Linked DNA regions of Danio rerio. The protein of the gene in region 3 purifies or fractionates together with the protein of the main gene of each other region. This does not show direct contact. Links are inferred from orthologs where the notes say so. Each region holds a gene or a part of one and is shown on either strand. Other genes may lie near its edges.

The links. The genes of interacting proteins can lie anywhere in the genome.
Region 1: the proteins of cltcb (region 3) and clta purify together in Homo sapiens (co-immunoprecipitation; 6 studies listed by BioGRID and IntAct, with this or other methods). This does not show direct contact. The link is inferred for Danio rerio from reciprocal best matches to the Homo sapiens genes CLTC and CLTA.
Region 2: the proteins of cltcb (region 3) and ptpn23a purify together in Homo sapiens (affinity purification with mass spectrometry; 3 studies listed by BioGRID and IntAct, with this or other methods). This does not show direct contact. The link is inferred for Danio rerio from reciprocal best matches to the Homo sapiens genes CLTC and PTPN23.

The regions. Positions count from the first base shown.
Region 1 is NC_133176.1:13,757,717-13,762,498, reverse strand, and holds the end of clta (clathrin light chain A), read right to left. Parts: intron 2,749-4,782; coding exon 2,713-2,748; intron 1,686-2,712; coding exon 1,514-1,685; 3' UTR 972-1,513; downstream 1-971. UniProt on the Homo sapiens protein: Clathrin is the major protein of the polyhedral coat of coated pits and vesicles.
Region 2 is NC_133191.1:45,543,089-45,547,198, reverse strand, and holds part of ptpn23a (tyrosine-protein phosphatase non-receptor type 23), read left to right. Parts: intron 1-1,122; coding exon 1,123-1,197; intron 1,198-1,350; coding exon 1,351-1,478; intron 1,479-3,408; coding exon 3,409-3,485; intron 3,486-3,619; coding exon 3,620-3,669; intron 3,670-4,110. UniProt on the Homo sapiens protein: Plays a role in sorting of endocytic ubiquitinated cargos into multivesicular bodies (MVBs) via its interaction with the ESCRT-I complex (endosomal sorting complex required for transport I), and possibly also other ESCRT complexes.
Region 3 is NC_133190.1:19,744,791-19,748,900, forward strand, and holds part of cltcb (clathrin heavy chain 1), read left to right. Parts: intron 1-1,364; coding exon 1,365-1,599; intron 1,600-1,712; coding exon 1,713-1,835; intron 1,836-3,524; coding exon 3,525-3,670; intron 3,671-3,758; coding exon 3,759-3,942; intron 3,943-4,110. UniProt on the Homo sapiens protein: Clathrin is the major protein of the polyhedral coat of coated pits and vesicles. Two different adapter protein complexes link the clathrin lattice either to the plasma membrane or to the trans-Golgi network.

The DNA.
Region 1 (4,782 bases), on a different chromosome or scaffold from region 3:
GAACAACAGAAAACTGACAATGATCACCTCATGTGCTTTATCCAGTGTTAAATGTATAATAATTGTTATCCAGTGTTAAATGTATAAAAATAATGTGAGTTTGAATGCCATTTTACATGACATTTATTGCCATACTACTGACAGCAGCAGCAGATAGTTCACCTCAGATCTTGAAAATAAACAGTTAAAAATATAATTTTAGAATTAAAACCAACACAAAGTAATTCAGCATCTACATTTCATAATGTTAAAGAGGTTTAATATGTATTAATTAATCATCCTCACCATTTCGTGAGTGAGTGCATATTCTGTGCTTCTGAATGGCTGGATTTAAATTTCTGTTGTTTCGTCTGGTGCAAACAGCCAAATTGCGTATCACTGCAAATCTCGTCACGTAGCATGTTGTTAGGACACAGGGTTACAGTGTAACCTGCTCACCTAATGCTTATGTTCATATTTTTATATTATTTGCTAAATAATAACCTCATGTGGAACTTTGAATCTGCGTCTCATTTAGGAGTCTGCTACTGTCCACCAGAGGTCACCTTTTGGTCACAGGCACATGCTCTGAGAGCCTTCCTGACTGAATGAATGAAATATTTGGTTTTCCACCGAGGCAACCCGGGGTGCTGAATTATAATTGGCTAAACTGGCAATGTGCAGGTTAAAAAACCCAAAACAAAGACAGTCGTTTTGGCACGTAATGAACATTTATAAAAGCAGAATATCTGACTTCAGCATTGTTTTTCAGATAAACAAGTATATTTACTTGGCATGTTTCTCAAATATCTGCAAACATATTATGGTATTTTGATGCTTTAGTAGAGTCAAAAATGTATATACAGCAACTTTAAAATTAAACCTACATTTCTTCACTTTAAGTAAAGGATTTTTAAGAAAACTTAAAGAAAAAGCAGATCTCACGATTTCCTCCAAACAGTGCAAATAAAATGGTGGCGACACACAAACACTTACCATTTCAAATGTGTTTAATCAAACTGAAACAGAATGGACAACATGAGTTAACGTTTACCGGGGTACAGCTCTGTTTAACAACAACAACAACAACTTGTGCCATAATCTCACAATGAAGTGTAGAAGACCAGTCTTTATGTACAGTCACACACACGCACACCATCTGTATACAACATACACAAGACGTCAGTACTGGATTCCCCAACAGATTCACGAGGGAAATGCATAGATCGATAGTGTCACAATGCCACACGCTGGCTCTACACGGCGAGGGGAAAAATAGGTGGAACATGGAGTTTGGTCCATAAAATAGACACCAAAAATAAAAACATTGTTATATATATTTATGTATGCATGTATATATTTATAGATGAAATATTTATAGACATAACTATATCATATTACACATACATATAATATAATATAGATTATTCATATATGGAGCTCAAAGCCATTGGGATAGGGCCACAAAGGAAATCGATGTTGTGAAACCCAATGGTTGCTGGGATTGTTGGATTTTCGTTTACTTTGAAGCTGTTTAGCGGACGAGCGGAGCCTGTTTAAGAGAGATGAGCACTGAACGCATGCGGGACACATCCTTTGCCTGCTTGCTGGATTTAGGGTTGAAATCGCAAAGACGCGCCACACGTTCCCATTCTGTGCCAGGACTGTTTTCATCCAGCTCCGACACCATGGCTTCCTCAGCCGCCCTGCCGATGACAAACCAAAATCAGCTTCAGATAGACACGGGGAACACTCGCAGACCCGTCCTGCTTGAGCGCAGCACCGCTGACCTCCTTCAAAGCCTCCAGAACTTCAAACGATCAATTTCCAAAGAACTCAGTAAGGAGTTGTCTAAAATCTGAAATGTTTCACCAGGAGCTTTTTGGTTAGGAGGTTAGAGGTGCGTGAGCCAAAAGCAGGAGCGTCCAGGTGCTTATTTTCCATCCATCGATACATTCAGAGACATTCTTCAAGTGACCACATCCAAAACAGATGGTAGTTTGAGCATCATGCCCCCAACCCACCATTACCAGAACTAGTCTCCATCTTGAAGGCAGGAAAAGGTTTCCAGAACAGCCATAATTAAAAAGTTTTGCAGCGATTCAGTCGGTTAAAACAATTGGTCGCACTTTGAATTAAGGGATGTTCCTCGTCTCTTGAGGGTCAGAGGAACGGCGTACGCTAATGAGCCTTCAATGTATCGATTGACAGGCCCATTGGCTTATTTTAACCACTAAATCTTTGCGCAAAGGCTGAACGTGCCATGCGTTTGGCAGTGACCAAAAGCGGGGCCTTCTGCTGAGCATGGGGGAGGGGAACTAAACCAAGTTTCTGGCAAGCCAAACACACTAAAGGTTTTTGAAACCATATTGGACTATTCCCGTTACCAACCCTTTCCGCTGCCGTGGACTCAGTCTAGTAGAGTTGCATTAGCCTCTCCACTATATATACACACACAGTATACACAGCAAAATGGGTATGAAAAGCCAATGAGGTAAATCACGGTCACAATCAATTACATCAACGCACAGGACTAGTGCACCAACACATCACCACAAAATGACATCCAGAATCTTAGAAACTTTAGAAGAGAAACATCTTGATGGTAATAAAGACAGCAATTCATTGGTGTATATCAATTTGCAGTCAGTGGCTTGTTTCCTGAGCATATTTGGATTTCTTGTCTTGTTTTAAGATTTTTTTGGTTATTGTCATTTTCTTTTTTTACTTAACTGGTCTAGGCGGTAGCAAGGATGGTTAATGTGAGTGCTTAAAGGTGCATAGAGAAAAGAAAAACAAGGAGAAACAGATCACAAGTCAGATATATAGAAAACCAAAAGAAATGAGATTTATGCAGATGACCAAAGCAGGCATGCACTGTTCAAAACCCAAGTCATCTTAGGGGTGTTGTTCTAAGTGCGCTTAGCTTGCAGCCGTCATTGAGGTGTGTGTGTGTGTGTGTGTGTGTGTGAGCCGCTTATATGGCATTCAGCAATCTCAACTGGCGCTTCAGTTGAGAGATGTTTACCAAGCAAAAAAGAAAAGCAGCTAGTGTTTGTGCTAGTTCTGCAGAATAGGCAGAAGCAGTAAGAGGTCTGTGATGAGCATGAGGGCTGCAGAACTAAGAGGACAGTTACAGTTCTAGCCTGGGACAGCTCTGCTCAACCTATGCACAACATACTTCTAAATAAAGAAAACTGTCTAACTGAAGCAACTAGGTGTCCGGCCGAAGTGCCAGTTATGAGATAAAAGGTGCACAAAGACTTTTTTAAATAACAATAATAATAACAACAAAACAATTTTAAATATACCTAAATGTATTAAAAATGTAATGTTAATGTAATTTCTATTAACCAAAATTTTGTAATAAATTGAAAACTAACTTTTATTACAAGCAGTTTTACATTTAACAATTAAAATTATGTTTTTATTATATAAATTTATATAAGTTATATACATTTCAATGTTAAATGTATAAAAGTTTCAATTTAAATTATAAACATAAAATTCAATACAATTATATATATTTTATGAAATTTGTCGTCATGATACAACTTTGCGTTCACAAAAAAAGTGGCAAGAGCGTCAAAGTCGCCGCAAGTCATTCGTTTTTGATGGGAGTTGCCGACGATAAGTGAGGAGGCGCATCTTCCCTGGTGTGGATGTAAAGGAGAGTTGGAACAAAGACTATAGAAAACACAAGACGCGTGACACAAGACGAGGAAAAGTGTAACGTCAATATGGCAAATAAAGCCCCGCCTTCTACTACAGTAGCCAATCAGTGATCTCTATAGACTGAGGATTCTCAGAGGGAGGGGCTCGGACCAGGTGTGACTTTCTGCAGATTTTATGTGATTCAAATGTTTAGAAATAAAAGTAAAGCGATAGTTGTTGTTTAATTTTAGTGGTTATTTGTAATATGAAATTTTATCATAAGCTTGGCGAGCAATTTTGGAGAACTTAACGTTTCCCTGTTTAAACACAAAGCCCAAACATTTCAAAGATGGCCGCCAAGTGAAATGACTTGCCTTAAAAAGACTTTGGTTGAAATCAAGTGAACTTCATGGTAAAGAGCTTTGACACTGTTCAGTGGCAACAAATCAAAATGTAGACAGACCGCTACAGAGAATTCAAGAGAACACAGTCATGTGAACTTTGGTTCCGACGACAATTGTTCCCATGGGTTTGATTGTCTCTGTCGCCAGATTTCTGATTGTTAACGATAATTTCTTACAGGAATTTACATTAAAACAACATTACTGGCGAGTTGGTGCATTAATGTTATTTTTTTTTTTCTTTAAAAAAGCGGAAATCTCATGCTATCTGTAATGACAATACAAAACAGTATTGCTGCTTCAAAATATTTCTGACATTAAGAAACATATTGAATAAGTAGAGCAAAGCCACACCACGTGCAACAACTTGATCTTCCAGTTATGTGAATTTGATAAAAGCATGTTTTTTATGCGGGAAGGTAACCGATTCGCTGCAGCGGACCCTTTAAATATGAGATCAACGCAGCGAATTTTGGCGCTCTTGCCAGTGGAGCAGTAAACCCAGACAGTGTTTGTCACCAGACCAAACTAAACGCTCTCACCGCATTCTGTGTGAACACACAGTTAATATATACAAATATACATTTTGCCATTTATAATTTGTCAAACTTGATTTAATGAGGTATACTTTTCGACTTTTGATCCAAAATTTGTACATTTATTTCATTTTGCACAGTTTTGACAGGATCTCTTCTACATTTTCCACATCACAGATATCTTAAAGCCCTAAAAGCAATTCAATTCAACA
Region 2 (4,110 bases), on a different chromosome or scaffold from region 3:
ACACACAAATGCCATTTGCAGTACACACACACACACACACACACACACACACACACACACACACACACACACAAGAACTACATATAACTACTTAAGAACTACATAGCGATTTTACTGTCTTTAATACAAACATACTCTGTATTAAAAATGTTTTAAACTTATAAAACTTAAAAAACTCATACAGAGTTTGAACAAATAATTGAATTCAATTTTATTTGCTAAAAAATGCGGATGTGTATATATGTTATTACAGAAACACGGCACCTGCCAATCAATTCAATGGGTGGGCAAAACCGCACTCATACGTCACATTTCGGTGAGAATTTAAAATCACTGGAAATTGCATTCTATTTTAACGTCAGGAAATTTAAAAAAAAAAAAAAAAAAAAAGACTTATTCGGTTTATATCCCTCCAATATGACAGAGGACACACTATACACACAAACACAGTTCTGTCTAAACAGCTTACAAAAGTAAAAAAATGTTATCATAGGTGCCCTTAAAAAAATAATGGCATGTAATAAAAATAAATATTACAAGTTTTGCGCTTTTTTATGTGTATCAAATGTTATTACATTTTACCAAATGTTATAATATTAATTTCATTATGTATTTGTATTACTTTACTTTCTGAATTTTTCCCAAGTATAAATTTATCTTTAGATTCACCACACAATTACATCAGCGTTCACATCACACTTATCACAAAAAACAAGCAACACAAATACATTCAAAATCACCACATAAGTCACATAAAAACTCAATTAATCCTGTTCCTTTTTAAAATGCAAATGGCAGTCGGCACAAAAGACATTTGGTGCACATTTTTCTTTACTTGAGGTTGCCTAACATGTTTTTTGATGGAAAAAGCTGACATTTTAATTTTAAAGGATGGAACAATCTTCAATAAAGATATGTGCTTTATGTTTAATTCTTATTTAATAAATTTAATTTAGTTGTCTTTGTGCTTTACCTACAATTGCCCTGTATATTTTTACTACCAATACATTTGTATTTCATTTAATGATCTTATTGGTTGGCCAAGTATAGAAACACTTTCTCTAACGGATAAATCCTTATCAGCTAAACTTTAACTGCCATTTGCTTTTTATCTTTTCCCAGTTCATACTGAAGAACTATGGTGAGGATCCTGACAATTACAATGAGCAGCTAAAGAAACTGGAGCAGCTGAGACAGGTTAGTCTTACAGTGTACCATTTTAATCAGTAAGTACATCTTCCCTGGAAAATATCCTTGGCATTGCTAGCATCATGCTCTACCAGTTAAGCAACTAAGAGAAGTTTATGATCTTGGCATTCCTAAATTCTCCGCATTGTCACGTCTTTCCAGAGTGCTGTAAACGTCACACGAGACTTTGAGGGCTGCAGTACGTTGAGGAAGTACTTCGGGCAGCTGCATTATCTTCAGAGTCGTGTGCCTCTGGGATTGGGCCAGGAAGCTGCTGTTCCTATTTCCTGGTAAGGGCATCAAACCATGCGCTTCAATATGCTGACAACTCGCACAAATCAGTTTGCATTGAAATAACTCATCGCCCCTGTTTGCATCTAAAAACCGTTTTCCCAACCTTCACTTGTTCCAAAGCTGTTTGAGTTTTTTTTCTGTTAAACACAAAGGTACTGTAGATGTACAGAACTTTGGAAAAAAAACATTCATACAGTCATTGACTTTCATGGTATTTTTGTCCAAACTCAAGGTTTGGAACAAGCAGAGGGTTAGTAAACGTTGACAGAATTTTCATTGTTAGGTGAACTATCCCTTTAAAATGTTTAATTGAACAGCTTATTAAGCATAATTTGGCTAAGAGTATGCATGTAAAGACATTATTTCTATTTCTTCCTCAAATACTGACTTTTAGTGCTCACTTTTAAGGCTTGTGCACACCGGGATGATTTTTTTCTCACGCTTATTGTTGTTGTTTTTTGTGTTCTCTCCCAAGAGCCAATCTCATTGGTCAACCAGTTTTAAATGCATCTTGTCAAACCAAAAATAACAAATCCAAGGAATTTTTAAAATGCTTTTATGCCTGGCTTGATTTTTTTTTACTCATGATTTTTGCACAATGGTTTGCATGCTCACATTAATGATCCTTGTTTAATCATAAGGTGTTAAGCGTTGGTGATAAGTGTGTGCAAAAATCGTCTTGATGTGCACAGGCCTTTACTTTTACCGGCAATATGACTATATACAGTTGAAGTCAGAATTATTAGCCCCTCTTTGAATTTTTTTCTTTTTTTTATATATATATTTCTTTAAATGGTGTTTAACAGAGCAAGGACATTTTCACAGTATGTCTGATAATATTTTGTCTTCTGGAAAAAGTCTTGTTTTATCTTGGCTAGAATAAAAGCGGTTTTAAAAATTTTTAAAGACTATTTTAAGGGCAAAAATTATTAGCCCCTTTAAGCTGTATTTTTTCATTTATTACCATTATACAATGATTGCCTAATTACCCTAACCTGCCTAGTTAACCTAATAAACCTAGATAAGCTTTTAAATAAAATAAATCAAGATAAAATAAATCAGTTATTTGAAAAGAATTATTAAAACTATTATGATTAGAAATGTGTCGAAAAAATCTTTTAAACAGGGGGGGTAATAATTCTGACTTCCACTTAATAATTTTTCATAATTTATATGAACATAATATTATATACCAGTGCGAAAATGCAGACAGAAACGTGAATGACAGCATGTCACATGAGAAAGTTGCAAGAATTCTTGAAGGTGCCATGTTTACATGTTGTATTTTTAGCGATAATTTTTGTTTTTATGTTGAAATCATTCATTTTTTGAAGTGCTTTATATATATAATATAATATATTACATATATATATATATATATATATATATATATATATATATATATATATATATATATATATATATATATATATACACACAGTATATATACACAGTATATATATATATATATATATATATATATATATATACATATACACATATACATTTTATATATGTTACTCAAAGCTACTGTTAGATACCTGAAAAACACTTTATCTTTGCTATATTGTATTCATTTTGTTTTGTATTTTGCTTATAGACTTTTCTTGATTTTTATTTGACTGTCCTGTTTTTTACTGAACATATATTCTATACCATACTGACCCTAAAAGCAAAAGAAAACCATAAACATTTAAAGTCTGTATTGTTGCCCCTAATTTCAACATTTTTAATCAAATATTTGCCCTCAAGTGAGAAATATGATCACAGGAATGAGTACGTTTCTCAGTATGTGAATAGTTCTTTTCATGTGGTCAGTATAATAAATCTATTGATTGATTGATTGAAATGATCTTATATTATGATATTTATCATTATCAGGATATGAGATTATGTATATGATGTGATAATTTTGTTATATCTTAGGACGGAGATATTTTCTGGGAAGACGGTGACCCATGAGGACATCTGCTATGAGCAGGCCTGCATCCTTTATAATTTGGGTGAGTTAGCATGAGACCGATACGTCAATGAGCGCATTGTCTGAGAGTGAAATAAATCCTGTGAGGTTGAGAAAAGGGTATTGTTGAAAATCAGGCTTGTTTTGCTGATTCAAGTCATGTTTTCACGCCTCTAGGAGCACTTCATTCAATGCTGGGAGCCATGGACAACAGGGTGTCCGAAGAGGTGAGCTGAACTACAGAAGACACAGCATGGACTAATTTAAATGTCATGTGATTTACTGTCGCAACCGACCGTAAGTCACACTGTGTTGAGAGGAAAGTGGTACATGTAACAATTCTTGCAATTCAGAAGTCATTTAAAGTCATTTTATCTCACTAAAAAAATCTATAACATGTAATTTTATTAATATATGGATAAAAATAATGAATAACTACAAATAGTTTGGCATTATATGAGGTATGGCCATGCAATGGCGCAGTTGGTAGTGCTGTTGCCTCACAGCAAGAAGGTCGCTAGTTCAAGCCTTGGCTGGGTCTGTTGGCGTTTCTGTGAGGAGTTTGCTTGTTCTCCCTGCATTAGCGTCGGTTTCCTCTGGGTGCTCCGGTTTCCCCCACAGTTGAAAGACATGCGGTACAGGTGAATTGGGTAAGCTAAATTGTCCGT
Region 3 (4,110 bases):
AAATATAATATGGGAAATATTAAAATAGCAACAAAAATTCAAAGGGGGCTAATAATTCTGACTTTAAATGTATTTGCTTTTTTTCCTGTGAGCATGTGCGATTCATCATTAGATAAGAATACAGTTTCATGAATGGAATACACACAGTGTAAAATATTGATCTTTTTTTTTTCAATTCATATTTATTTCAATTCATCTTTATCTATAGTGCTTTTTTGATGTAGATTATGTAAAATATAGATGAAGTTCTGGTAAATTAAAATGGCTTCAGTTTAGTTGTCACAGTTGAAGTTCAGTGTGATGCAAAAGTCACTGTTGAAAGCACTGAAAACACTGAAGTGCAACTCTACCGGTGTGCAGCTCCACAAGTCCTAGCCAAGCAAATCAGAGCAAGAAAAAAACTGTCTCAGCTAGGCATAACCATGTCTCCTCTGGCCACAATAAACTTGTGACAACAACTTGTGACAACAAACTGCCATTTTGTGGTACAAGCCATTGAAATGAATTGGTTTCATAGTGCAGTGCTTTCTGCATCCAGTGTGAAAGCCACTTTAGACTGCATGGTGACTTGGCTGAAAGGAATGTGAAACCAGCCATCTGAACACCCCTGAACAGTTTGGCGCAGCGTAACCTTTTTTGGCATCATGATTTTAGCCATTTTTCTTTTTCAGCCAAAAACCGAGATAATTTACATAATGTTTTTATAGGAGGTATATAAATTAGGGCTGTCAGCATTCACATGTTGAAGGGATAGTTCACCCAAAGATGAAAATTCTGCCATCTGTTTATTCAATTTTTTTGTTCTGTTGTGCGTTCTTCAAAATTTTGTCTTTGTGTTCAACAGAACAAAAAGAAAACTCAAACAGGTTTGTAACCAGTCAAGGGTGAGTAAATGATGGTAGAATGTACATTTTTGGGAGAATTATCCCTTTAACACATTTATTCATCCTGTTAAAACAATCACAAATAATTGATGTAATTTACACAATTGAATTCACTTTTTTAGGTGGAAATAACTATTGTATCCCCTTAAAAAAATTATTTTAAGCCTCTAAACTTTCTGAAAGATCCCCAGTAAATGTTTCATTCAATCAGTTTAAAACAATAGGAATGTACAGAAAACCAATCTGATTATGTCAGCGATGGCAGAGAGAATGGTCACTTGTGGCCAGTTTTTGGTGAATAAGTCTTTTGAGTGCGTGTTTCAATTTAAAAACCCAAGCTCTGTCATTCTCTGTGATTCGTTTATGAAGGCACATCTCATTGTTTGCTGTTTATTTGGTTGACATTTGTCTGATTTGGCTGTTATCTGTCTGAATCTGCTCTGTTTTGGTTTTTTAATTGATTGTTTTGATCTCTGACAGACTGAAGCTGCTTCTGCCATGGCTGGAGGCCCGTATCCACGAGGGCTGTGAGGAACCTGCCACCCATAATGCCCTGGCTAAGATCTACATTGACAGCAACAACAACCCAGAGCGCTTCCTCCGTGAGAACCCCTACTACGATAGCCGCGTTGTGGGCAAGTACTGCGAGAAGAGGGACCCCCATCTGGCCTGTGTGGCTTATGAAAGGGGACAGTGTGACCAAGAGCTCATCCATGTAAGAAACAATGGGGCTTTTGTTCAATGTTTGTAGCAAAAAGAGCTGATACATTCAATGTCTAACATAAAGCAAATTGCTATAAGTGTTTTTTTTTTCTGTCAAATTCACAGGTTTGCAATGAGAACTCACTCTTCAAGAGTCTGTCCCGATACCTTGTGCGTCGTAAAGACCCCGAGCTGTGGGCTAGTGTGCTTCTGGAAGTCAACCCTTACAGGAGACCCCTTATCGACCAGGTGCAAATTAGAGAACAACATGAAAATCAAGACTAAATTTTGCTTACAGTCCATTTTACTACCTCAATGTCCTATTTTCTAGTTCAAAAGAAAAAAAATATATAAAAAATAATATATGATAATAAAATATGTGCAAAAAAGTAGGTGTTATGGTACTATATCAAAAAGGTTAAAGGGATAGTCCCAAAGATTAAGATTTACCCAACCATGTCAGCAGAAAAATAACTTTTAGCGTGTGTCAGTAAATCATTCACAATGATAAATTGAGTCCAGTTTTTATTTAAATTTATTTTAAAGGTCCTGTCAAGTGCTTTGAAATGTGCAAGTTGGTTTGACGTGTGACGTAATTTCAACTGAAACATGAAGACTGGGTTGTACATAGAGTAGCTCCTCCCCTTTAAAAAAAAAACAACTAATAGAGCTTTGCTTTTATCACAGCTCTGCCAGTAAGGGCAAGTATATATCGCTGCAGCCTGGAGACCTCCAAGTAGGAGGGATTGTACCGCAAGTAGGTTGGGTTACCTCTAAGTGGGAGGGACTTATACCACAAGTAGGTTGGGTTTAGGTGGTGTAGGTGCAGCAGATATTAACAAAACACATCAGGTTACTATGAGGTTGGGTTTAGGGTTGGGATGGGTGTTGATCAGGGGTGCCCAAACTCCGTTCTGGAGGGCCACACTGTGTCCGAAACTGCATACTTCCATACTATATAGTACGCTAAAGTCAGTATATGGAAGTAGTATGTTTGAATTCATAGCATTCTAAAACCAGTATGTGAGAAGTACCCGAATGACTTACTAATTCCAGCGAGATTCTGGAGTGCACATCCCATGCACTCTATTCATGATGGCAGTGTTGCGACTGACGCAGGCAGGTCAAGTGACCCTGACAAAATGGCGAATGTAGTATGTCCAAATTCCATTCATACTTTTCAAATTCATACTGTAAAGAATGAACTTTTCTAACGGCCGAGTAGTACGATTAAATTCAAATGCAGTTCCTACTGAGAAGTAGGCGGTTTTGGACGCAGCCCTAGTGTTCTGCGGAGTTTAACTCCAGCTTGCTTTAACACACCTGCCAGGAAGTATATCTAGTAAGAGCTTGATTAGCTGGTTCAGGTGTGTTTGATTAGGGTTGGAGCTTAACTCTCCAGGATAATGGCCCTACAGGAACGAGTTTGAACACCCCTGGTGTAGACGTTAATAAAACACAATCGGTTACTGAGGTTGGGTTTAGGGTTGGGGTAGTTGTAGACATTCATAAAACACAATATTGGACTCCATGTCATGTACAAGGCATTAAATAAATAAAAACTCCAGGTTCGTACTGCCCACTTGGAGCTAGCTCCGACTTCCGTTTATACCCTTCTCAGTTAGGGTGGTTAAGCTGAAATGCATCAAATGAAAAGCCAGCAAGAAGCATCTTGAAGGGGGCAGGACATGTCACATATTATAGAGTATTTGATTGGTCAGAAGATTTGATGTGAAACTATATAAGTTGATGTCAAATAAATCATTGATTCATTGAGGCTTTTTTGTTACCTTTTTGCATCACACTAGCTTATTGATATCCTTAAGACTAATATACTGATTGTAACATCAAAAACCCTTATTTTGATTTCAGGGGTACAATTTTGAGTTATAGTGTGAGAAAATACTTTAACCCAGCTTATTTCCATGTCCACCACAGGTTGTGCAGACTGCTCTTTCTGAGACTCAGGATCCTGAGGAAGTTTCTGTTACTGTCAAAGCTTTCATGACTGCTGACCTGCCTAATGAACTCATCGAGCTACTGGAGAAGATTGTCCTGGACAACTCCGTTTTTAGTGAACACAGGTAATTGTGAAAGGCAACTGAACATAAAATGGTTTTCTTATATGTTTTTGATGGTGTTAAATAGTGACTTTCCCATTATTTGTTCCAGGAATCTGCAGAACCTCCTCATCCTGACAGCCATCAAAGCTGACCGCACTCGTGTCATGGAGTACATCAACCGCCTCGACAACTACGATGCCCCTGACATCGCTAACATCGCCATTAGCAATGAGCTCTTCGAGGAGGCTTTTGCCATCTTCAGGAAGTTTGATGTAAACACATCTGCAGTGCAGGTGCGGTTCATGTTCTCATTTTTCATACTACAGGCTTGTTGAATTGCTTGATTCTGATTTTCAGATAAAAAGTAACGTCTTGACCACAACGAACATGCTTTTTGCATTGAGAGGAGCCTTTTTTGACAGGTTTACTAGTAGCCGTGAGCATTTTAACTTCCTGCTGCG